Caenorhabditis elegans: one gene and its partners. The protein of the gene in region 2 interacts with the protein of the main gene of each other region in a pairwise test. Each region holds a gene or a part of one and is shown on either strand. Other genes may lie near its edges. The genes, in order: npp-9, mett-10 and R07B7.2.

Region 1 (8,210 bases), 6.7 Mb from region 2:
GCTGGTTATCATGGAGCCCAGTGCCGACATTAAACATCATTTGTTCGCGTTCTCGCGGAGCACGAAAGCCGACGAAAATGTGCTGAAATCGCCGGTTTTTGGATTTTGTCTTGTCACGGAGGTTGGTATTTCGTCGAGTTTTTGGGTCTCGAACGGAAATTTCAATTTTATCCAAATTTCAGGTTGATTTGGAGAAGCGAACAATGTCAATTCTCTGCCCACAGCGTACAATTCCATCGAAAGTTCTCGTCTTCTCAGATATCACCCATCTTGATGATCAAATAAAACGATAATTTATTTCTTTTTTTTCCTAATCCCTATTTATTTGTTTCCCGCCCTCAAAATAAATCTCATTCTTCAATGCATTCACAATTTATTGGATTGTCACCAGTGGGGAAAAATCGATGCCGGGACAATGTGAACAATATAGTTAAGTTTTAAAGACAAAAATTATGAATGATAGTGTGTGGGGGGTACTTATGAGAACAATGGGATTTTGAGAGAGATGGGGGGGAAATAAGGAAATTATTTTTTTAAAAACCTTACCAGACAAATATAAACTACACTTAAAGGACTATAGATGACAGCAGATGGGGATGAATAAAACTAGGTTCATAAATAAAATTGGTGGTGGGGAATACTAACACAGAGTGCTGGGTGGGGAGGAATAACAATAATAAAATAATTTAAATAATCAGCAGAGGATTACATCTTCGATTGAGCATCCTGAACAGCCGTCTTGAATGCTCCGGCGGTCGCCTCGTCCTTGAATTTGGCGGTGAAGATGGCTGGATCAGCGTTGGAGGCGTCTTCTGAGAAGTCCTGAAAAATAAGGAATTTATAGTACATTTTTATATAAAAAGAAATTAAAAATTGCTACCTGGCACATAAATGTGAGCACATTTGGCAAGTTTGGCTTCGGACTGAGCTTCATCGACTTTTCGATACGGAAATTGGCACAGAGCTTATGGACTTGCTCACGACGCATCACGATTCGATATTTGTTGTCATTGCTTTTCAGGAGCTGAAATAATAAATTATTTTTCTCAAATTTAGCCTCTATGAGTCAAAAATCAGTTGTTTTCTTAATAGTTTTCATTAAAATTTAGTGAAAAAACATAGAAAATACTTGCAAAACAGTTGAAAAGTGCGCAAAACTAGCACTTTTCTTAACTGTTTCAACTGAAATAAGTTATTTTCTACGTTTTATCACTAAATTTTAATGAAAACTATCAAAAGAACATGCCAAGCTGGCTCATTTTGATATAAAATCCTAAATCTGACCTTAATATCTCCGAGTCCACGTTCCTTATTCTCCTTGAGATCCGAATAGTACTTATAAAGCTTGCATCTGGCGGAGAACATGACCTCCTCGTCCTCTTCACCAGTTTTCACCTCAACCAAATCCGGAAGAGGAATAACTGGCTTAAACTCGACTTCTGGCTCATACTCCCCATCTCCATCCTCATTCGTCTCATCACCATCGTGTGAAGTTGCAGAAGTCGTGTTCAACGTGGTGTTCTTGCTCCCGAAAATGCTTGCCTTCTTCTGAGCAGCAAGTTCTTCTTGGGCCTTCTTGACATTTGCTGCGTCGAAAATGGAGCCAGATTTGGCAGAGTTGGCTGAAAGGGCAGCGAATGTTGCACCTCCAGACGTGAATCCACTACCGAACACGGATTTTGGCGTCTCGGACTGTTTATTTTCTTCTTGTTTAGCTGGTGCAGTCGTTGATGGAGTCTGTTGCTTTCCGAATGAGAAAGTTGGCTTTGGGAAGGCACTTTCAGAATTCTTGGCGAACATAAACGACGGAGTAGTAGTTGAAGAAGCTGTAGATTCAGTCTTGGAGAGTCCACCTCCGAACAATGAATTTCCTGGAGTCGTAGAGGTTGCCGGAGAAGCAGTTGAAGCTGCAGGATTGTTGAAATTGAACGATGGGGTAGTTGCATTGACAGCGGCAGCTGGCTTGTTGAATGAGAAAGTTGGAGTATTAGCAGCACCTCCACCGAAAACGCTTGTTCCCTTTGGTGTTCCACCACCGAAAATGCTACTGCTAGTGCTTGGAGATCCGCTGAGTGATCCACCGAACTGAGATGTTTGAGCAAGAGGTTCCTTGGCTGGAGCAGATGCTCCGAATCCGAATGTCACTTTTGGAGTTCCTGGGGCAGGCTGGAGGATCGAAGGTCTGCAAATTTAAATTTTTAATTTTAAGATAACTCAAATAGAATATTTACTTAGAGAATATATTTTTCTCTTTGACAGATCCGTCTTTCGATGTCCCACAACAGGCACATTCAATCTCGTCAGCTTTGCAAGTAACATAGCATCCAGGGCATTCCCAAGATCCTGGTTTTGGCTTGAACTGATCTCCAAATCCAGTCTCTTCCGGTTTGTTGTTTGATGGAATCACAACTTCTTGCTTGACTTCCTTCTTCACCTCAGCCGCCGGCTTGATTTCCTTGTCGATGGTCTTTCCAGCGTTGCTCGATGATTTTGCCTCAGCGACAGCCTTCTCGAACAAAGTCTTAAACTCTCCAGCGATATCGACGTTAGCGAAACGAGCGGAAAGCTTCACGTGAGCTGGCTGATCTTCGGAAAAGTCCTCGCAGAACCATGTGTAGGCCTTCTCGTTGGATTTCATTTGTTGAATGGTCATCGAGCCGAGAATTGGGAAATTGGCACAGACTTTGAGAACCTGTAATTTATTTTAATGCTAAATTAAGGTATTTAAATTTAAATTAAGATCTTTCTGTTGAGGAAAACGCCGAAAAATGTGAAAAAAGCTGTAATTGGAATAACCTGAATATTCCAACACAATTCTTCGGTTCCATTCTCAATATTTGAAGGGAGTGTCTCCTCCGAAATGGTCACCTGGTCTCGTCGCATAACAACTCTCCACGACTTCTTGTCCTTGTTGTAGAGAACCTTCAGCTCGCCGGTTCCTCGCTCCTTCCATTCCTTCGTCTCGTTGGCATAAATGTAGAGTTTTGAACGATTGCAGAACATGGTTTGCTCTCCTTCTTCTCCAGTTTTCACCTCGACAAGATCTGGCAGTGGAATGACTGGCTTGAACTCGCCCTCTGGCTCGTAATCCTCATCATGTTCTTCGTCTTCATCATCTTTAGCTGCTGGAACCACGACTGGGGAAGCAGTTTCAGGCTTTTTACCGAAGATTGAAGTAGCTGGATTGGTCCCGCCGAATGAGAATCCGGTGGTGGCTGGCTTTGGAACAACTGCAGGCGTTGGAGTAGAGAATGTTGGCTTAGCAGGTGGAATTACAACTTCTGGTGGAGATGTCTGAAAAATATTGAATTTTTAATTGCTGGAACTAAAACCCGAAAATTTGTTACCTTTGGTGCAATAACTCCAGAAGCTGGAACTGTCGATTTTGCTTGTGCTGTAGTGGCGACCAGTGGCTGTGTAACGGGAATAGCTGGCTTCGCAGCATTGAGCAAATTAGCCATAACTTGGCTTTGGGCCTGTGCTTGGGCTTGAGCTTGAGCGTGAGCATGAGCTTGAGCTTGTGCTGCCTGCACATGAGCCATCTCCATTTGTCGCTGAAGAATCAACATTTGCTGTTGTTGCTGAAGCTGCTGTGGAGGAATCATTGAGCCGAGAGGATTCGCATCACGAGCAAGAAGAGTGTGTATAATTTGATGAAGTCTCTCGAGCTCTTTTCCGTGATTAGTGCTCAAATCGGACAACTGCTTCTGAAACCGATCCTCGGATCGACGAATATCATCGCGAAGCTGGGTGACGCCGGTCTGGTGCTCAATCTGTGAAAAATAAGTATTAAATTGAGTTTTTCATGAATCGCATACCTTCAACGAGTCCATGCTTTTGATAAGCGAGTCAAACTGCATTGTCATCAACTGCTGCACATCCACGACGCTGGCGACAATGCGCCCCATATTCTGAAATACCGTGAATCATGTTGAGCAACATTCGAAAAGATTCACTTACCGGCTTCTGATCGCTCATTGCGAAAGGAGAGCTGAAATATGAAAAATATCAGGTAAACAATTCAAGAGACTTCAAGCTAAAGCGAGATAAAAAGACGAATACTGCGGTCTCTTTAGTTGAAAATTAGCAGCAATACTTCAAAGAATTCGCGCCAGGGATTTGAATTTCGAAATTTCGCGCCAACGCTTTCCCTGCTTAAAATAGGGCTTTCCTACCTTTAAAACTAGTCTTTTCTGTATAAAATATGCTTTTAAACGCACAAAAAATGTTTTCCAGCTATTTTTCGTAAAAATACGGAAAAACTATGGCGAAACAGTCTAAAATAAATAGAAATTGGGCGCCAAGCTTCGCAAATTTCGAAAAAAGTTCAAATTCCTGCGCCGTGGCGAGACCCGTTGCGTAAATCGACACGCGCGCCTTTAACCATGAGTTGGCAATTATTCATGGAAAATACCGGTTTTTCAGGCGAAAAACAGGATTTTTGATATTTTCCGTCGTTTTTTATGGCTTTTTCGGTTTTTGAAATGTCAATTTTGCCTGGAATAGCATTTATTATTCACTTTTCTCAGCGAATTTATTGATTTTTCATCAGAAACTTTCAAAATTGTGTTTTTTAGTGATTACAACAACAAAATGGAAGTAGACACAAGCTCATCGTCATCTTCAGAGGACGAATGTGACCCAAGCTCTCCGAGCACGGCATATATCCACTCAGCGTGAGTTTTTCGCTAAAAAACACAAAAAACAAACTGTTTTTTAAATGTTTTTGTTTCAAAATTAACATTTTCTGAAGTTCTAACAGCAGTTTCTAATCCGATTAATTCCAGAAGCGTACGATTATCCGTCGGAACAGAAGAAGCGGCTCGAACCGTGGCAGATGTCATAAAAATCGATAAAGAGCCGAGAAGAAGTGGTGCTCGACGGGAAGTGTGCAGCGAAGGCGAATTTGTAGTCATGTAATAGTTTTTCTATTCGAATAACTAAATAAATAAGTTAATTTTCAGAAAAATCGAATCAAAAGATCCGAAATCATTGTCAAAATCCATTGCCAACGCTGTTGATATGATCGATTTGTCCGTGAAAACTATCAAACTTTGTGAAAATCTGGGAAAATCGAAGGAAAACGGATTGAAAAGAAAACTCTCAAACGGATCTCAGGCTTAATTTGATTAAAATTTGTTATTTTTTCTGTTTTTGTTTTTTGAAATGAATTTTTTTCAACTTTTCATGATTTTTTCTTCTTAAAAATATGGTTTTTAACCTTTAAAATACTTTTTTTTTCGATTTTATTGCAAATTCCCCACTAAAAAATCGATTTTTTCAGGTTTAAATGTTCAAAAACCTGAAAAACCGGCTGGATAATGAAGCCGGAAAGCTTAAACAATCAGCTCAGCAGTATGGAGAACAACTCGCCGCTCAAGTTGGACAATATCGGCAGGCGATGGTAAAAATCCACTGAAAACTGAGAAAAAATCGATAAAATTGCAGAATGAGCAGCCTGCTGGCAGTGATGCATCCGCGTCGATTTCTAAAAGATTCACCGGAGAATCAGGAGAAACTAAAGCTGAAAATCCAGCAAATACCTCTATTGTGAGAGTTTTAACATGAAAAATTCTCGAAAAATTGAATTTATCGTCGAAAAACTATTATTTTCCAACCATTTTCGTGAAAATTTCCGGAAAAATGGATTTTTACTGTTGAAAAACAATTTCTTGTGAGATTTAGTTCGGAATCCAAAAAATGTACCAAAAACAGCAGAAATATGCGAAACAAAGAGATTTTTAAATAAAAATCTATTTCCAGCAGCTGTGAGACCGTTAAAATGTACGAATTTTAAGGTTTTATTAAAATTTTTCGCCATTTTTTCGAAGTTTTGCATCAATTTAATTGCAAAAAAAATATATTTTTTCCGCATCTAAATCACATTTTTGTATGTTTTCCATGTTTTTTACAAGAAAACTCAAAAAATACCAAAAAATATTTTTTTTTTCATTGGGAAAAACCATTAAAAATCAGAGATTTCGTTGAAAATGGTCACATTTTTACGAAAATGATCGAAAATGACTTTTTTTGTCGAAAAATTTAAAAAAGAGGAAATCCTGTTTCTCTTAAAAAAGAATTTTAAAAATTCAGAGAATATCGAAAATTAAAAAATGTAGAAAATTGATACGAAAATTAAATTTTTTTAAATAAAATTATGTTTATAATTTTTTTCTGAAAAAGAAAAAAATGTCAAAATTTGAGCTATTTTTTTCCAAAAAAATCGGAAAAATAAAAATTCGGTTTTCCCGAAAATCGATAAATTCGCAAAAAAAAAAATTTTTTATGAGAAAATTTTTTTTCTTCTGAAAAATTAGAAAAATGTCTGAAATTTAAGCTATTTTCAGGAAAATAATGAAAAAACGTTTTTCAATTAAACACACAATTTTTATCAATAAAACAGGAAAAACATGTTATTTTCATCTAAAAATAAGAAACAAATGGTCAAACATTTTGTAAAAATCTCTCTGAGACTCAATAAATTTCCAGGAATCCTCGTCAGCAATAATGTCTGAAATCCCTGAAGCTGATCTTCTAGGCCTCGGACTTTCATCAACTGAATCTCCATCAAATCGTCGACGTCGTTCACCATCTGAAGATTCAATACATTCAAATGAAAGTACACTTGCTGCATTACTTCAATCAATTCCAAATGCAATTTCATCTGCATTAGAAACTATTCCTTCTGACTCTGAAAGTGTTGCTAGTGATGCATTTTCTGTTAGATCTACTAATGATCCGGTTAGTAATGGAAAATATGAAATAAATCCATGTTTTATAGACTTTATTCGAAAATTAAATACAAAATTAACTAGAAATAACATAAATTTAAAAAAAAACCTTTTTTTTTTTTGAAAATTCTACTCGAAAAAAAAAAGATTGGTATTTAGAAAAGGATAATTTTTTTTTTACTGATTTAAAAAAAAATTCCATTTTAAAAAAATCAAAAAAAGTTACAAAAGTGTTGAAAACTAACCTGGGTGTCAAAAAAAAATTCTGAGACAGTTTTGAAAAAGAATCTACGAAAAAAATATTTTCTTACATATTTCCAAATAAAAAATTCCAAAAATGAAATTTTTATATTGAAAACGAACCGAAATTCAATTCACAAAAAAAGTAACGAAAATTTACGAAAAAATAACAAAAAAATACAAAAAACCCAAAATTTCCAAAATTTACAGCCCAGAATTTACAAAAAAAATACCCGAAAAATTTAGAGAAAATTAACTAAATTTACAAAAAAAACCAAAATTCAAGAAAAAACCAACAATTAAAAAAAAAATATTGTCAAAATTTACAAAAAGTAACCAAAAAATTAAAAAAACTAAAATTTACAACAAAAAAATAACCAAAATTCACGAAAAAATAACCTGAAAATTTCAAAAAAAGAAGACAAAAAGTTACGAAAAATTACGAAAAAAATGACCAAAAATTGCTGAAAATAAAAAAAAAACAAAAAATATCCAAAATTCAGTTTGGGAAATTAATTTTAAAAAAAGAAAACAGAAAAATTTTGTAAAAAAAAAAAATTCAAAAGTGACTAAATTTTGCCAAGCCACTCGGGTTTTCATTAGAATTTTAAAGCATACATTTTGAAAAAAAGTTTTCAATTTATACCCAGAAATTTTTTGAAAAAAAAAAACTTTGAAAGGTTTTTTCAAGTTTTTTCAAGTCCAAACTGCACATTTAAGCTAAAAATAGGCCCTTTTCTCACAAAATCTCAATTTTACAGGCCTACAACTCTCGTCTGAAACAACGTTTGGCCACGTATAAAGCTAAATATCGTGATGCAGTACACCGTCATAATAAGCTCGTTGATGACGTCAATACAACACGAAAATTGCTCGAAACGACACAAGATGAATGCCTTCAAAAAGTGGAAAAACTGAGGTTGGAGAAACGAATTCTCGCTGAAAAACTCTCCAACTCGGCAGGAAATGGCGACGGAAAAGAAGAGCTCGAAAAGAAATGTGAAGATTATAAGAGAATGTTGGAACAGTGTAAAATTAAGATAAAATCTCTTCAACAAGACAAAAAAGAGCAACAGCAGCTGATTACTGTAGATAATGATGATTCTGTGGATCCAAGAATTCGAGAAATGGAGCAAAGAATTCAAAAAACTGAAGAAGAATGGACGAATCGAATTAATGAAAGTGATCAGCAACATGCAATCAATTTGGCGACGACTAAAGCTGAAATGCACGCGGCTC
Region 2 (8,210 bases):
CCAGCTATAAATGTGTGTGATATGTATATACGAAGACGTTTCTTGATTTTTTGGGGTCTTTTCAGAGCTTCTTGAACATCAATCTTCTTTCTTGTAATTGTTGAATCAAGCTTCTGCTCAAATGCTAACAAGTCCATATAGGCTTGTGATTCGGGAACCAGTTCGCGAACCTGAAATTATTTTATTATTTTTTTAAAGGAAAATTCGAAAGTTTTCAAGTATATTTACCTTTGGTTGAATTAATTTATCGGCATATCGCTTTTTCTTTTTCGGAGGCTGTGGGCCCCGGTTTCCCTGTATTTGAGCGGTTTGTCCAGGCAACGGCGCGTTAATCGGCCGACGTACTTGCTGTGGTGTTGCCTGTAAATCAAAAAGGTATTTTTAAAAGAAAAACGATTTAAAAGTTTACCGGATGGTTGAATCTTGGCCCCTGCGGAACTGGTGGCCGCGCTTGAGTTTGCATTCCTGAAAAATATGAAGATTTTTTCAAAACAAATAGCCAGAAAGATAAAAATAATAAGTTATTTGTCTTAAAACATGTTTAAACACAAGAAAAATGAAGCGAGAAATTATTCAAAAATGAGAGAAAGTCGATACGAATACGGTACTATTTTAAAGGCGCATGCAGCTTTTGTTGAAATCGTGACGAGACCCGCACCGCATCGGGACAACTTACCCTTTAATGTGTGTTTCTATTCTTTTTTTTCTTTTTTTCAAATTTAATTCGAGTTGTTTTCCTTTTTAGAATCAATATTTTTCTTAATAATAATTAATTAATTTTAAAATAATGAATTTCTCTATTCTTGAAGTGAAAAATAATTAATTATTAAGGATACGACAACATTTAATAGTATTTTTTCTCAATTTAAAGGGAAAAAAAAATTAAAAATCCTAATAATTGTTAGATGTGCAGCCAGAAAGAGCTAGAGGAGCACACGGAGCGGTGTGAGTGTTCATTATCGATTTTCTCTGCCCTGCAAGGCCGCAATGTTCGTTTTCTAGGCCAGCATTTATTTAACGTTTCCAAATGTCTGACGATTTCGTAAATTAATGTCAATTATCCAAGTATAAATGAAATAATTTTTAAATAATTCCAGATGAGCACACTATCGGTCTTAATCGAAACATCATCTTGCTCATGGGGAATGCTAGCAAGTGCACACGGTGATCGAACAATTGGAATTATTCTACGAGCAATCGTATGTTTGATTTGATTCCGCTAAAAGATTTCATCAAAAATTTTATTTTTAGGTATCATTCTGCAATGCTCATCTAGGACAATCTGCAAATAATCAGCTTCTAGTTTTTGCATACGGACGAAATGTGGATAACAAAATGATATATTCTTCTACAAGATGTGAAGATCGGAATGCTTCGTTTCTTGTTGTGAAGCGTTTGCGGGAACTATTGAGTAGTGATGCATTAACTAATGATGCAACTATTGGAGCACCTCTAGGACCTGCCTTGGCTCATGCTTTTTGCCGTGAGTTGGAGGAACTTCCAATTAACAAAAAAATATATAAAAACGGAAGCTATATTTCGACATTTCAGATATGAAAAAAGACAGCCGAGTAGTAACTGCTGATCCATGTGATGATTCTCTTGGACCTCAGACTACATCAGAACAATCGGAAACCGCATCTGAAAAGGCTACGAATAGAGCAGTAGTGATATCAATTACTCCTATCATGGGAAGCGAACACGGATCGTTAATGAATTTGTTCTTCTCTGCTGCAAAACAGTCAATCTGCGTTGATGTTGTATCGATGGGAGATGATTTTACTGGTGGAATCCTTCAACAGGCAGCAGATATTACTGGCGGATCTTTTCTACATGCCAAAAAACCACAGACTTTATTGAAAATTTTAATGGTAAGTTTCACAGATTTTTGATCTTCATATTAATTATTTGATTCCAGACTAATATGCTAACCGATCCAACTCACCGTGCAGTATTCTCGAAGCTTTCTCATAATGTAAGCCAAAACCAACGACTGGAACCAACTCATAGTTTATAATTTTCAGTCAGTCGATTATCGAGCATCCTGTGCGTGTCATCATCAGCTTGTATCCTCCGGTTGGGTGTGCTCCATCTGTCTTTCAGTCCTCTGCCAATATACTCCAATATGCAAAGTTTGCAAAGCAGCGTTCACGATTGCCAATCTTCCAATCAAACCGAACAGGAAACGGGCCATCAGGAATTAACGTGTTAAACAATTTATTTATTTTTTTGTTGTTTTTAAATACCGGTTTAACTATGTTTCATGAATAAAAATATAACGTGAACTTACCTTGTTAGATTTTTATTTTTTTTTAAAACACGGTTTTCCAACTTCAAAATCAGTTAGTAAAAAGCTTATTGCTCGACAATGAGCGTACATCTAACAGAAGGCAGAAGAATCATTCAATACACAGGATTTGATGATATTGATGAGGAAGATGTTGAGGTAAGCAGTGGATACTGTATGTACAACTGATCTCTGAGCTGATTTACAGCCAAACGAAGAAGCTGAAGGTCCAGGAGGTGTTCACAAAAAGAGACGTGGAGCGCGAAAGAAGAATCGGCGGCAAAGAGTAATATTTTTGAAGTTATTATTACTCATATGTGAAGTTTTGTGGTTTTTGCGCGAGCCCTGGTCTCGACACGTGTGCGCCTTTAAGGGGTACTGTACCTTTCATTGCTGCGCACTTTTCAGTAATCTTTCATAGTTTTCGATAATAATGTTTTTAAAAACACATCAAATTTTAACGAACTATGAATAATGGGTACAAATTCCACAGCAACAAAATTTTGAAGTTACAGTACCCTTTAAAGGCGCACACCTTTTCGCATTAAACAAAAATTAGTCGTGGCGAGACCGGGTATCGTAGTTTTTTCGCAAAATTTTGCAGCTGAGTATTTAATAAAACAATAAATTTATTATGCTACAAATTGAATTCAGATGGAAGGCCTAGAAAACGTGGATCAGACTGTTGACTTGCAGTTGGTCACAGTTCCAAAGGTTGTACCATTCAGAGCTTCTAGACTTTTGCAGGTATTCTTTAATTAATCCCAACGAGACCTAAAGTCAAAATTCAGGAAATTTACGATCGTGAGAGGGTTCACGGGATGCGTAGAGATGAAGCCCGTCAGCTGCTCGAGGATAAGCTCCTGTTTCTAGAGGAAAAATCGCTCGAGAATTTGCATCTTCGTAGATTTTGTCTTGTTGTTCCATCTGATGAGCATTTTCAACTGGATGATGGCTCTAAAATTCCTTCGGAAATTGTGTCAATTTCTATGGAAAATGGGAAAATTAGCTCGATTTTGCGGGTTTTTCCGTCGAAAACTAGAAGCTTTGAAATGGAGAGTGTAGAGAACTTTCGTGAGTGTGAAATTTGAAATCAAAGTGAAGCTCCAACGCCAAATGAAAACGTCCCTTATATAATAATATGGGACTCGTTAGGTATTGGTTTTCCGCCAATACCTAACGAGACCAAAATTATGGGGGAGGAGCGCGAATGCCATTTAATTTCAAAATTCTGATTTTGTGCATCCCCAGAATACATTAAGCCTCAATGTTTCTCGAAATGAAATATTTAGAAAGTCACCGAATGCGTCGTGTGTACTGGAATCCATCAATTCCAAAAGATTCGAATTCAATGTTCCGCACGTGGAATCATTTTCTCGATGGATGCCTTCTTTCTCTACTCCTTGTGCCACTCAACAAGCTTACTCAAGTTCTAGAATTTTTGCGTAAAATCAACGAAATGCGAACTGTGATCAACAATCGTATAACCGTATCAATTTGTTTGAGTCGTGTGATTTGTGTTGAAGACTATTTGAGTGCTGTACAGAAAGTGATGAATACCCGAACTGTTGTGAGTCTCTAGATCTATGGATTTTAATGTATATTAGCCGTAAATATTTCTATTTCAGCAACTTGATCATATCCCTTCCATGGATCTTCCATCTCTTCACTTTGCTCTTGATTTTAGGTATATTTTTATTAATTTATCAATGTCTAATATTCTCTTATTTACAGCCGTTATCATATTCAATCTATGAATACAATTTTCACAGGATCAACGGAAATGGATAAATTATCAGATGAGAATTCTAGTCACGAATTAGTTGAATTTTCGAGCTGGTCATGTCACAGGGAAGCTCATATCAATATGGAACCAGAAAGTATGCAATTTTTTGGAATTTGTAATAATTTTTCCGAATTTCAGAATATCATCGAATTCTCCATTGGTTGTGGGATCTGAGTCCAGTGAATCCAGTAGATGAGGCAGAGTGAGTAGACGGTCCTAGAAAAGGTTTTCAAGAGAAATTTCAGGGAATTGTGCAACCACGAAGTTCCAACAGACACATACGACGATGATGATGTACTCACTAGAACTCCTTGAATGTTTCTTTTTTAAATTTGAATATGAAGATGAACCGATATACTTGCTTTTTATAAAACTAAATTGTTTCACTAGAGAAAAATAAATTAAAGCTCTTATTATCTCACAAAAACCAAAATTGGTATAAATATTGAATAAATAAAATTATGCTATTTATCGGCATATTAAATTTTTCAAATACTGCACTAGTTGATGAAGGTGTTGTTTTGAACCGGATATTAATTCAAATGAAATCGAATCATAAGAATCTTCAGAAAAAACTTGGATACGTATTCGAATGATCGGGCCAGGAACTTCACCATTCGGCAAAGGAAAGTACGCTTGCGAAGCGTTATCCCACGCATTTAAATTGTTCGTTGGTATCGATTCAGAAGACACAAAGTTTCCAGCGTCTGTGTATGAATCTTTTCCATCTCCAGCTCCAAAAGCTACTTGACAAGCCACGTTTGAGAAGTTCCACTTTGCTTTTTTGATGCTAGACTCTGATAGAATAGCTTTTGCTCTTTTCCGGGCTCTTTGATTTGTCCATGTCACACATTTGAACTCAGCAACAATAGCTAATGTATCTTCTTGCCTCAAACGTCCATTTAATATACTTATTTCCTGCATTAACCTCGTTAATCCAGGCTTTGGACATTGAAATGAAATTGGACGGTCCTGTAAACCAAGCGCGATTAATTTTTTTGAAGGAAAAAAATCACTAACAATTGTTGTAAGAGATACAGATTTTGAAAATGTCCATGCCAACATCCAGCGCTTCGTTTTTCCTTGATTCAGCACAGAAATCATAATTTTAACGTCATCTCCGAAGCGTTGCAGACGATTTTGCAGGGGCTTCAGACTAGACTTTCGACCTATCATTGTTGTGTAGATTCTGAAATGCTGTATAATATTCATATAAATATTAAAAAATTCGAAATTTACTTGATTCTATCCCGTAGAAGCACACTGTCATCAATAATCCTATTAACGAAAGCTACTTCGCCTCCATCAACAAATAATTCTGCACTTGAGGCGAAGGTAGCAGAGTGAGGAGCGGTTCGGAATTCAGAAGCAACACGATTTGAATATGTTTCCGTGGATGATGAGATATCTTCACAAAACTTGTCATCGCCATTTCCTTTTTCGAAAAACGGAGGATTACACATACAAAATGCATAATCTGTATCCGGAATCGTGTTGACTACATCCTACAAAACATTTTTTTTTGTTATAAATTAAATTAAAATTTAAAGTTTAATTACCATTAGCACTGTTTTAACATCGGGATTCACATGAACTACACAAATTGAACTGCTCAGCCCATTTTTTGCCACGTTTTCATGAGCTACACGAACTGATTTTTCATCTCCGTCAGTGGCAATGAACTTCCAGTTAAACTGCCGAGCTCCTATTAAAGCATGAATACACGATGTTCCGGTGCCAATATCAATACCAATCACATTCTTCGTTAGCTTATTCGCTTTGAGGAGATCATCGATGAGCAGGCAGTAATTGAGTTTTTGCGGAACACGTGGAACCAAATGTCCTGGTGGTATTTCGACCTACAAACATAAATATATATACATACATGGTTTTTTAAAATTAGTTTTCAAAAAGTTTCAAAAAACTTACATCTAAATTAAAATCTTTTTTCAGCAAAGTCTGAGTGAGACAGCGAACAGCAGCATCCTTTTTAAAATCGAACGTAACTTTTCCGTTGCTCACGTATTGACAAAACTTGCGGAACTCTGGATACTCCACTGCCAATGCTTTGAAATCCGGCGGCTTGTTTCGATAAGGGTTACGAGGATGCATCTCGTTGTTTTGTGACATCCTGAAATATAAAAGCATGATATATAAATAATGATATATATATTTCTTCAATTTAATTTATAAAATAGACGAGGAAACGACACATATTATATGTTTTCGAGGGTTTGAAAATACATAAATCCATAAATTCAAGAAAAAAAAACTAAATAAATCTCGTAAATCCTACCTGTGCAAACACCACACGGCGTAACATGCAGATCAGGCAGCGAAGTTGACGCGCAAAATATTAATTGCTTTTTTTTCTTTATTTTCTTCACACCGTTTCCGGTTTGTTTATTGAAGGAGCGATGTCGTTACGTGTTCAAAATATCCTGATTAATTCTCTACGCCAATATTCGAAGCAAATCTTAAAACCACCCGGTTATGCATCGCCCGAAAAAACCAATCACTTGAAGAAGTTTCTTGTGGACAAAATTCGAGTTTCCGGGCCGATCACAGTTGCTGAATACATGAAGACCTGTGTTTCCGCACCTCTTGTTGGATATTACGGACAGTTTTCGAAAGATCAGAAGGTTATCTCATCTCCAAATTGTCATTCTTTGTTAATTCAGATATTTTAAGGTATTCGGCGCTAAAGGAGATTTCATTACTTCCCCGGAGCTCACTCAATTGTTCGGTGAAATGATCGGAGTATGGTATGGATGTAAATTTACGAGGAAAACTGTTTATTCTTCAGGGTATTTCATGAGCTAGCAAATACGGGACACAAAGGATCATGGCAGCTCGTGGAGCTTGGACCTGGACGGGCTCAGCTGATGAATGATGTTCTGAACGCATTGGCCAAGTTCAACGACAAAGATGTGTCTGTTCATTTAGTAGAGACGTCTGATGCTTTAATTGATGAGCAAGAAAAATCATTATGTATTTATACGTCTAAAAATTCAATCGGTATCCTTTTGCAGGTCGAAAAAAACTTAAATTTTTATATATTTTCAGATACTCCATTCATCCGAAAAAACAAAACACGGACCGGTGTAAATATCTACTGGTACAAATCGATTGATGATATTCCCGACGGATTCACTGTCTTCATAGGAAACGAATTTCTCGATGCTCTTCCAATTCATCAATTTCATAAATCGGGAGACTCGTGGAACGAAGTTTACGTAAATCTTACGAAGGATGGGGATTTGTGTTTCATGAAATCTAAAGGAGAAAATTTACATACAAAGTTAGTAAAAAAAATCGTTTTTAAATATTTTTCCGATATATAAATATTTTTTTCAGAGGACTAATCCCTTCCGCAATTCGTGATGACTCATCTCGTGTAACATGGGAATGCTCGCCTGAATCTGGAACCGTTGTGAATCAAATCGTTGATAGAATTACAACATTTGGAGGATTCTCTCTTCTAGTCGACTATGGGCATGACGGTTCTCGAAACACGCATTCTTTCCGTGCATACAAGAATCACAAGCAAGTTGATACACTGGAAAATCCTGGATTGGCAGATTTAACTGCTGATGTCGACTTTGGATACTTATCGACTCTTGTCAAAGATCGTGTTGTTATCTACGGACCAAATGAGCAAAGGTTTAAAGGAAATTAAAGTTAAATTGATAATAATTCCAAAATTTCCAGAGAATTCCTTGCTCAACTTGGAATTGAACACAGGCTACGACGCTTATTGCAAGTTTGTAAGGACCGGAAACAACAAGAACAACTAATTGGTGAATTCTACCTTTTTAATATGTAAAACTAATTGATTTCATTACAGAATCGTACAATATGTTGATGGGCGATATGGGATTGAAGTTCAAAGCCTGGGCGCTATTTCCAAAAACTCTTGAATTCATTTTAGAGCAGAGAGGAGGCCCAGCTGGATTTTCAGCCAAAAAGAAGACAACGGAGAATTAAATTTAGATATTTTGTTATTGGAATGAATTAGTTTCTTTTATATTTTTATTTATTCATCTAAACATGGTTTGTATCCAATAATTTTTCAAGTCCTTGGTTTTATATATTTTTCTGCTTTTATTTGATTCTTTATTTTCAGGCATCCAGATT
Region 3 (8,210 bases), on a different chromosome or scaffold from region 2:
GTGCAAAGAGTAATCCAGACTCCAGTGGCTCAGCAACGTTTCCAACGCCAGCCACAACGCTTCCAGCAACAGCAACCTCGTTTCCAGCAACAACCCCCGCGCTTCCAGAGACAGCAGCAGCCACAACAACAGCAAGTTGTGAGAAGCGTCAGATATGTGAATGCAAGACCACCTGTTCAGAGAAACAATGTTGTTCGTCAAGTGAGTATTCAAACTTTTATTTGCTAGAATTGAATTAAAGATTATGATTGAGTTTTACAATACTAGCCACCAATTGGATTAATATTATGAAACATAAATCTTAGGAATCTGTGGTGACCAATATATTGGTTTTTCAGGTTCAGCCAGTTCAATATCGTCCAGTCCAATACGTCACTGATCAGGTTGTCAACTCTCGTGGTCGTGGATTCCGTGCCTTCTAATTTCATCAACTCGTACACAATCAAGGATACTCAGAAGCTGCGTAGTTGTCTACACACCTTGCTTCATTTTATAAATTTATAATTCCTTCTTCCATAAACACCATGTTTAATAAAATACTCCGCCATACTCATTCTATTCACATCCAACAATAAACATGTTGCGTGTCTATCGAAATTAGTTACTTCTCTTATGTCTACAATAAGTTCAGTTGGATTTATTTCAACATTTCAGATGACATCCCGTAACAGGGTGCGAACAAGTTCTAATAGGTAAGAGACTAAATATCACTTGACTTCTCGGAAATAATATTTTTCAGTCTGGATCCAAATGAAGATCCTGTGTCGGGGCTAGAACGAGTCATGTCAAACTCGAATCTAGAACACGTTGCTCGGCAAAGAAGACGACTAGTGCGGGCAAAAACCAGCAATTTTTTCTGAAAATCAAGTTATTTCAGGAGGAAGAGCTGTTATTCTCAAGGCAATTGGATGATGTTGGTCGAACGGATAGCCATGAAGCATTGTCTGCTAGATACGAAAGTCTGAACTATGAAATATCTGAGAATCGACTCTATAGAGATGCTGAAAAGAAACCATCTCACCAGGTTTTGAGATTTCATAGATACAGTAACAATGTCACTTTTCAGTTAACTCTTTGGCGAATTTCTCGAAATCGTTGGTTTGTATGCTTTTTGATTGGAGTTTTCACTGGACTCGTCGCTGCATTTATTGATATTATGGTACACTACAGTAAAGATATCAAATTTAACTGGATTCTCAAATATTGTCAGTTATACTTATCTAACTAATCTATTGAAAACGAAACATTCAGTGCTCTCAAAGTGTGGCGAAGAGCAACGTGGAACGACTGCAGGGTGTATGTGGACCGTAATGATAGCTTGGATAGGATATAATTGTGTTCTCGTAACTATAGCTGCAATCCTTGTGATTTATGTAGCTCCGATTGCTGGAGGTTCTGGAATTCCTCAAATAAAGTGTTATCTTAACGGAATTGCGATTCCTGAGGTGTCATTTCCAGCTCAAAAATTTCTGAAACTTTCGTTTTTTCCAGGTTGTTCGTCTCAAAACGCTCGTTTCAAAAGCAGTTGGAGTTGCATGTTCGGTTGGCGGTGGTCTTTGTGCTGGAAAAGAAGGTCCTATGATCCATTCTGGAGCTGCTGTAGGAGCTGGGATATCACAGGGAAAAAGTTATTCCCTTGGAATCGATTTCGGACTTTTCCGCGAGTTTAGAAATGATCGAGAAAAAAGAGATTTCGTTTCTGCTGGTGCTGCTGCTGGAGTTGCTGCTGCTTTCGGAGCACCAATCGGAGGAGTTCTATTCTCTTTAGAAGAAGGAGCAAGCTTTTGGAATCAAGCTTTGACATGGAGAATGTTTTTCTCTGCAATGATCTCTTCATTCACTGTAAATTGGATTCTCAGTTGGTTCAATGGACGTAGTGGATGGCTCTCATGGACAGGTCTCGCGAATTTCGGAGTTTTCGAAAATAAGGATTATAATATTTGGGAAATTCCTTTGTTTCTTCTCATTGGAATAATTGGAGGCTGTCTTGGAGCTTTATTCAATTATTTAAATACAAAACTCACCGAGTTCCGTAAAAAATATGTGAGCAGCAAACTGGGTCGTTTGTTCGAATGTCTTCTTGTTGCCGCGGTATCAGGATTTCTTGCTTTCCTCACAATATTCGCAATTGACGATTGTCAGCCGATAGGAGCGAATCCTACAGCAACATCAACACAAATCAATCAAATGTGGTGCAAAAAAGGAGAATATTCTGCAGTAGCTTCTTTATTTTTTCAAAATCCTGAAGAAAGTGTGAAGAGTATGTTTCATAGTCCGATAAGTAAGTTTGATCTTTCAAAAACATTTAAGATCCAAATATTTTCAGATTCTTTTGGTGTCACAACTCTTGTTATTTTTGGAATTGAATATTTCTTGCTCACTCTCTGGACGTTCGGAATCTCTGTACCTTCTGGTGTCTTCATTCCAGCTATTCTTACTGGTGCAGCATGGGGCCGCCTGTTTGGAATTTTTGTTGAACGACTTTTCCCTTCGGTTACTGGAATTGATCCAGGAAAATACGCATTGGCAGGAGCTGCCGCACAACTCGGAGGCGTTGTTCGAATGACAATTTCATTAACAGCTATTATAATGGAAGCAACTAAAGATATTACATTTGGATTACCTATTATGTTGGTGTTGATGGTAACAAAATGGGTTGGAGATATGTTCAATGAAGGACTTTATGATGCTCATATTGATTTAGCAGAAGTTCCAATTCTTGGTTGGAATCCACCAAAGATGAGCAGAAACATTTTGGCAGAGTTGGTTTTTTTGTTGTAACAATTCGAAAATCTTTTTTTAATTTTCAGCCGCGTGATGCGAAAAGATGTTGTGGCTCTAGAACGGCGAGAAAGAGTATCCAGAATCGTTGAAATTCTTCGTTCCACACTTCATCATGGCTTTCCAGTAGTAGATAGAATCGAAGAATCGCCATACGAATCACTCCCTGATTATGGACGCCTGAAAGGTTATATTCTGCGATCACAACTGTTCAAACTTCTGGAAAATCGAATTTTCGAGGAAGAAGGAGCTTCAAACTCTGCACTTCCAAATGATTTTTATGAATGCCAGGATGACGACGAGTAAGTGATTTATATTGAATAAAATACGAATTTTAAAACAGAAATTGTTTGGTATTCAACATACTACGAAAATATTATAATTCAATTGTTATATATTTTATTTTCAGCCAAATGAAATCTGTTGCTGAACTCGGATTAACAAATTTCGACGAGTCATGTTTCCTGGACATTGAGCCCTACATGCATCCTCATCCGCACCGTGTTCCACTGAACACATCTCTTCCATTCATTTTCCGACTTTTCCGTGGACTTGGACTTCGATACCTTTTTGTGGTGAACGATGATAATCATGTGAGGACGAACATTATCCAAATTTATTTTTTAGTATTGTTTTTCAGCTTCGTGGTGTGATTACTAGAAAAGATGTTGCCAGATTCCGTGAAAGACGCCGAAACCGCGAGTATCATGTTGATGAACTTTATATTTCTGAATCTTAAATGTTCTTATTCTCTTTCATGTTCTACCATTGCCATTTTGAAAACGTGTTTTTTAAGTCATGGAAATGCACAGAGAGTTTAAAAAATATGTTTGCGTTTAGCAAGATGTCGTTTGGTCTCTTTTGGGAAATAAACTGAAAAACTGAAATTTCGTTTGAAAAAATAAATCGCAACACTACGTTGCAAAATGTGAACTTATTTTGAAATTTTCTGTTCATGTCATAGACACTTTCTTAACAATTTTATTCTGTGATAAATCTTAATCGGTACGTTTGTCTAATGTGTTTTCCGGTATTTAATTTCATTAATTATACTCTCTAGAAGGCGTGAAATAATACCATTATGATTTTATAGACAATTATAATTTTATAAAGGAGCATCGGTAATTAGGATGTACAGAAACACAATATAATTTTTAAAAAGGGTTGAAAGTAAACTTTTTTCAAAATTTAGGTATTATTGAGCCAAAGATCGCATTCGTAAACTCTACAATACCTAAATTATGATGCGAACTAATGCAGGAAAACAGACCAGGACTTTTGTGTATTTAAATATGTTTTGAAAAACGAAATGGGTTACTGTAGCCGAGGTAAAAGTACGCAGAGTTGCGTCATATCCGTTGTAAATAATTCGCCAAACGAAAATTATTTTCTAAATTAGTTTTTAGGAACATTTTTGTTTGGAATTTTGTATGAAACCATTTCACAAACCCTCATTTGATTTTTAATAAATTAATAATCATTATAACGCTTCAGATGAGTGCTTCTGACGGTGATAACACAGAACAAACTGGACGACGTCGCAGTTTTGGGAACTTGTTTGGATCAACACGTGTGCCTTTTTCCTCACTTTCCGATATTTATGCAAATCAAAGTACGTTCGCAAAAGATCAAGGAGTACAATCTGAAGTCGACGTTGCTGATGCCTGGAGCCAACATCACGCTCCAACAAGAGATCAATATGTCCAATCAGAAATTATCACGGCTGTGGAAACTTCAAGCCAATACGAGGTTCAAACAAAGGATAAGGAGGTGGAAGCCATTTGTTCAACGGCGAACAGAACAACACAAACTTGTCATGCAACCAATATCGCCGGTACAAATTCAGAATCTTGTTTAATCGAAAAATTGGCAAATTCACTTTTGGAACATCTTCAAGCTCGCCGGCCCATCAAAGCTCGGACAGCATTTCCAATTTATCTCCAGCAACCTGAACAACTCCAGTTGCTTCCTCCACCAGATCAGCAATCCGCGCCTGTGCCGCCGAGTCATCCGTTGCAAAATTCTGAAGGTAACCCACTTTAATATTCGAACTTTTTCCCATATTTTAATTCGTCCTACGCTCAGGTGCATACATTGAAAATAGGAACATCTCTTGTATATGTCCGCAAAATATTGAAAATATTTCTAATACTCATCATAAAATTAAATTTAAGCTCGTCAAGAGGATCTCGAACAAACTGAAATGCCACAAGCTTCGCAACAAATTGGAATTAATGAGACCAGTCTCAATGATGCCGATTCTCAATCGTTTTTCCATTCGAGACTTCATCAAACGGAACAGAGAGAAGGTATAATTGGCAATAGAGCTTACTAATATAAAATAAATCAATTATTTTGAGAGTAGTAATTTACAGAAACAAACTCAAACAGCATGCAGTCAATTCATTCACAGGTTAATCCACCAGCAAGTCAAGAAACAATGGAAAGTCATTTCCCTGAAATGATCAATTCTCGTAAGTCAGACCATCAACTTTGCTTCTCGTTTAAAAAAGTAACTTCAGAGCGATGCTCATCATTCCCAACTCGACATGATGGATCTTCGCATTTTGCTCGTTCATCATCTGGCTTGCTCGGAAGTATGTCTTCACAGCAACAACGGTCCCAATTTCCTGTTCCCCAAGAAGAAGGAAATCAGGCTGAAGACATGCGAGGGGCTCAGCAACCACATAATGCTAGAAATTTGTTTGGAGGTGAAATATTTTATATTAAAAATGCACTTGGCTCTGTTCAGTTTCGTGTTCGGCTAAACTTATTCTAACAGACAATGAAGAAATTCAAAATTTGTCTTCCACTGCCACCAGAAATCAGTGAATTCAATAATTTTATGAATTGACCAGCCGTGGACCGCACCTCCGGCGCGGCTCCCGACCTCTTGGAGCTAAAAACTAATGTTTCTGAAACTACCGTAATCATGCAGTACTCCTACCGTATCACTATTGTACCACTACAGTAACCCGACTATATCCTTACACTAACCTCAACTCACTATCCCTCCAGAAGCTAAAATTTCGCAGACTACAAAGACTACATAGACTACAAACTATGGACAAACGGAATAAGCGCTTTATATATATATATATATTAGTAAATGATAGTAATTAATTAATTTTCAGGGGTCGGAGGGATGTTTCCATCAATGCCGAATTCCTCGGGAGGACAGGGACCCGATTGGCAAAATAATCATTTCATTCGCCCATTCGGTCAACCTGCGGCTGGCATGATGAGTTGGCATCCAGGAATGATGCCATCTCGTGAGTATAAATTTTGACTACCTCTAATTATAGTCAATTAAACTACTTATGAGAAATTACACGTTTTAGATATGAATAACTCCGCGGCTCCATCTTCTTTTTTTGAATCTCCGTTCATGCCGCCATATGATGTTTTTATGCAGCAGCAGATGCTTCTACACTCTCAATACGGTTCGCTCAATTTCTGCAACTTATAGTAAAGGTATATGTTACAATTTCAGCGGCGTGGGAGCAACAACGGAATCATGCAATGATGTATCAAAATGCACAAAATCAAAATTCGGCGAATGTAAATCCTTCATTTGCCGATATCCCTTCTGCAGCGCCGATTTCTCAGCCAGAAGTCAATGTTAATGAAAACCAAATCGTTCCCGAAGAAACCGAAAGGCTTGAGGCTGATCTTGAAATCGAGAATACTGTCGATGCGATCATCGGTAATAAAAGTATAAATTACGACCTAACATAACATAACATAATATAACAGTAACAGATGTTGGATCCGTCAACCAAGCTGTATCTGGAGTCAATTCGATTGCTCGAGAAACAGAGGAAATCAATAATCAAGATGTGCGAAATGAGACACCAGTGGAAGATTTCGGATCCATAATATCAGCGATTTCTATAACTGAAAATAGAAACGAGTCTCCAATGCCAAGCGCATCTGAAACCGGTGAGGATCGAACACCAGTTGTTTAAATATAGGTTACACAATGTACACCAGGGATGTGTGGGATCTGGCTTTTTCGGCGAACGGAATTCGTCGTTTGTCGCTCAGTCCTGATGCGCCAAGTTATTTCTATATTATTTTATTTCTATTTTTCAGATGACACATCTCCACATACCTCGCGCTCAAGATATGGATCTTCTGTTGCCATTTCCACCGGTATGAAAAGAGCACGACTCGAACCATCACAATCTCCACCGGGCTCATCTCGCAAAAATTCAAGGAATGAGACGACCAAGAAAAATTCAAAAACTCCTTCTTCTACAATTGATAAAGAACCTACTTCATCAAAGAGGACAAGAAAAGGTATTATTGATTTCGAATTTATGTAAATAACCTTTATAAATTAACTACGTTTTTCAGCTCCAGCGCGCTACGAAGCGGAATGGAACGCCGAACAAGGAGGCGATACTCGTCGTGCAAAAAGGTGGTCAAAAGACTTCTATAAGGCTCCCAGTAAAAAGTAGATTTAATTTTTGAATAGGTAATAGTAAACTTTATTGTTTTTTGTTCATCATTCGTTGCCCATTGTTTCACCGATTTAAAAACGCGATTTCTCAAATCTCATTAATGTTTCCCTTTTTATTGCCAGATGTCTGGAAACCTAATGTTCCTTCTCCATTTTCTATGGTTTCTCTTGTTTTTTTTAAGTTTTTTTCTCATAATAAAGTTTTTTTCAAGCTCTGTCGTCCAAAGTAGTCTAGGTGTTCAGTGGAATTATTGAATGTAAGTTTCAGCGTCTTCAAGGGACATTGAGTGGGAATGGGGGAAGTGTTGGGTTACTGGTGCTGCGTTTGTATTAGAAATCAGAAAGTAAATTGAACGAAGAACAATTGTTTATTGGGTGAAATGTTCGGAATATAAATTTAATTTCGACATTAATCTATATACATAACCGTAATATTTAATTCTTTTTTCGAATTAATCAAGCAAATTGATGTTTCTTTTTCTCTTCTTCAATCGTCTCTCGTGTGACAAATGTGAATGATTGTGGTTTATCAGTTGCCATTGGAAAGAATAAAATATTGGCAATAAACATAAGTAAACCATTGAGAATATATACATGACCCCATTGAGTATGAGATGATTCATCTGATACAAATATGGCAACTGTTGCTGGAGCAGCAAATAAGGCAATACATTTCATAAATTGAATCATCGCAAGCACAAAGTGAGCATATTGACTGAAATTTGTTTATGGATAATTGCATGGTTTTCAGAATAATTTACAGTGAATTCATAATTTTCAGTGTTTAAATTTTTGGATTTGGACACAGTTGGAGTATCACCACTTAGGATTTTGTCTGAATGCACTCAAAATACTCAGAATTACCAAATTTCCTAGTTTTGGAAAATTACCAAAATAAAAAAGAGCTTTTGAAAAAATCCAAAGCAATTTCACAGGTTTCAACCCTTATTATATTCAAATAAAA

The links.
Region 1: the proteins of mett-10 (region 2) and npp-9 interact in a two-hybrid assay, tested with the Caenorhabditis elegans proteins (one large-scale study listed by BioGRID).
Region 3: the proteins of mett-10 (region 2) and R07B7.2 interact in a two-hybrid assay, tested with the Caenorhabditis elegans proteins (one large-scale study listed by BioGRID).

The regions. Positions count from the first base shown.
Region 1 is NC_003281.10:3,400,286-3,408,495, forward strand, and holds npp-9 (Nuclear Pore complex Protein), read right to left. Parts: upstream 3,992-8,210; 5' UTR 3,979-3,991; coding exon 3,961-3,978; intron 3,912-3,960; coding exon 3,819-3,911; intron 3,774-3,818; coding exon 3,348-3,773; intron 3,295-3,347; coding exon 2,797-3,294; intron 2,693-2,796; coding exon 2,232-2,692; intron 2,183-2,231; coding exon 1,285-2,182; intron 1,025-1,284; coding exon 881-1,024; intron 823-880; coding exon 706-822; 3' UTR 359-705; downstream 1-358. Other genes in the region: Protein clpf-1, read left to right, coding at 1-121, 183-293; F59A2.5 (L antigen family member 3), read left to right, coding at 4,594-4,676, 4,788-4,916, 4,965-5,124; golg-4 (GRIP domain-containing protein), read left to right, coding at 5,291-5,404, 5,449-5,550, 6,490-6,741, 7,733-8,210.
Region 2 is NC_003281.10:10,113,036-10,121,245, reverse strand, and holds mett-10 (U6 small nuclear RNA (adenine-(43)-N(6))-methyltransferase), read right to left. Parts: upstream 6,211-8,210; 5' UTR 6,204-6,210; coding exon 6,003-6,203; intron 5,933-6,002; coding exon 5,633-5,932; intron 5,579-5,632; coding exon 5,313-5,578; intron 5,263-5,312; coding exon 5,094-5,262; intron 5,046-5,093; coding exon 4,542-5,045; 3' UTR 4,380-4,541; downstream 1-4,379. Other genes in the region: ham-3 (SWI/SNF chromatin-remodeling accessory subunit 1), read right to left, coding at 1-170, 229-360, 410-463; gtf-2H3 (General transcription factor IIH subunit 3), read left to right, coding at 1,098-1,199, 1,252-1,483, 1,552-1,871, 1,919-1,975, 2,025-2,204; ZK1128.3 (uncharacterized protein), read left to right, coding at 2,369-2,446, 2,496-2,573, 2,942-3,034, 3,079-3,361, 3,580-3,857, 3,916-3,974, 4,022-4,167, 4,212-4,279; nuaf-7 (Protein arginine methyltransferase NDUFAF7 homolog, mitochondrial), read left to right, coding at 6,491-6,715, 6,765-6,838, 6,880-7,091, 7,140-7,374, 7,431-7,736, 7,785-7,873, 7,921-8,060. UniProt on the Caenorhabditis elegans protein: RNA N6-methyltransferase that methylates adenosine residues at the N(6) position of a subset of RNAs and is involved in S-adenosyl-L-methionine homeostasis by regulating splicing of S-adenosylmethionine synthase transcripts (sams-3, sams-4 and sams-5).
Region 3 is NC_003283.11:12,055,813-12,064,022, reverse strand, and holds R07B7.2 (PUM-HD domain-containing protein), read left to right. Parts: upstream 1-4,273; 5' UTR 4,274-4,275; coding exon 4,276-4,810; intron 4,811-4,955; coding exon 4,956-5,090; intron 5,091-5,156; coding exon 5,157-5,255; intron 5,256-5,303; coding exon 5,304-5,492; intron 5,493-5,915; coding exon 5,916-6,053; intron 6,054-6,122; coding exon 6,123-6,224; intron 6,225-6,274; coding exon 6,275-6,496; intron 6,497-6,537; coding exon 6,538-6,723; intron 6,724-6,876; coding exon 6,877-7,083; intron 7,084-7,140; coding exon 7,141-7,244; 3' UTR 7,245-7,461; downstream 7,462-8,210. Other genes in the region: pqn-53 (Prion-like-(Q/N-rich)-domain-bearing protein), read left to right, coding at 1-201, 339-422; clh-6 (Chloride channel protein), read left to right, coding at 655-692, 740-830, 878-1,024, 1,067-1,205, 1,252-1,445, 1,492-2,281, 2,327-2,762, 2,811-3,083 and 2 more; F10C2.7 (Major facilitator superfamily (MFS) profile domain-containing protein), read right to left, coding at 7,703-7,961.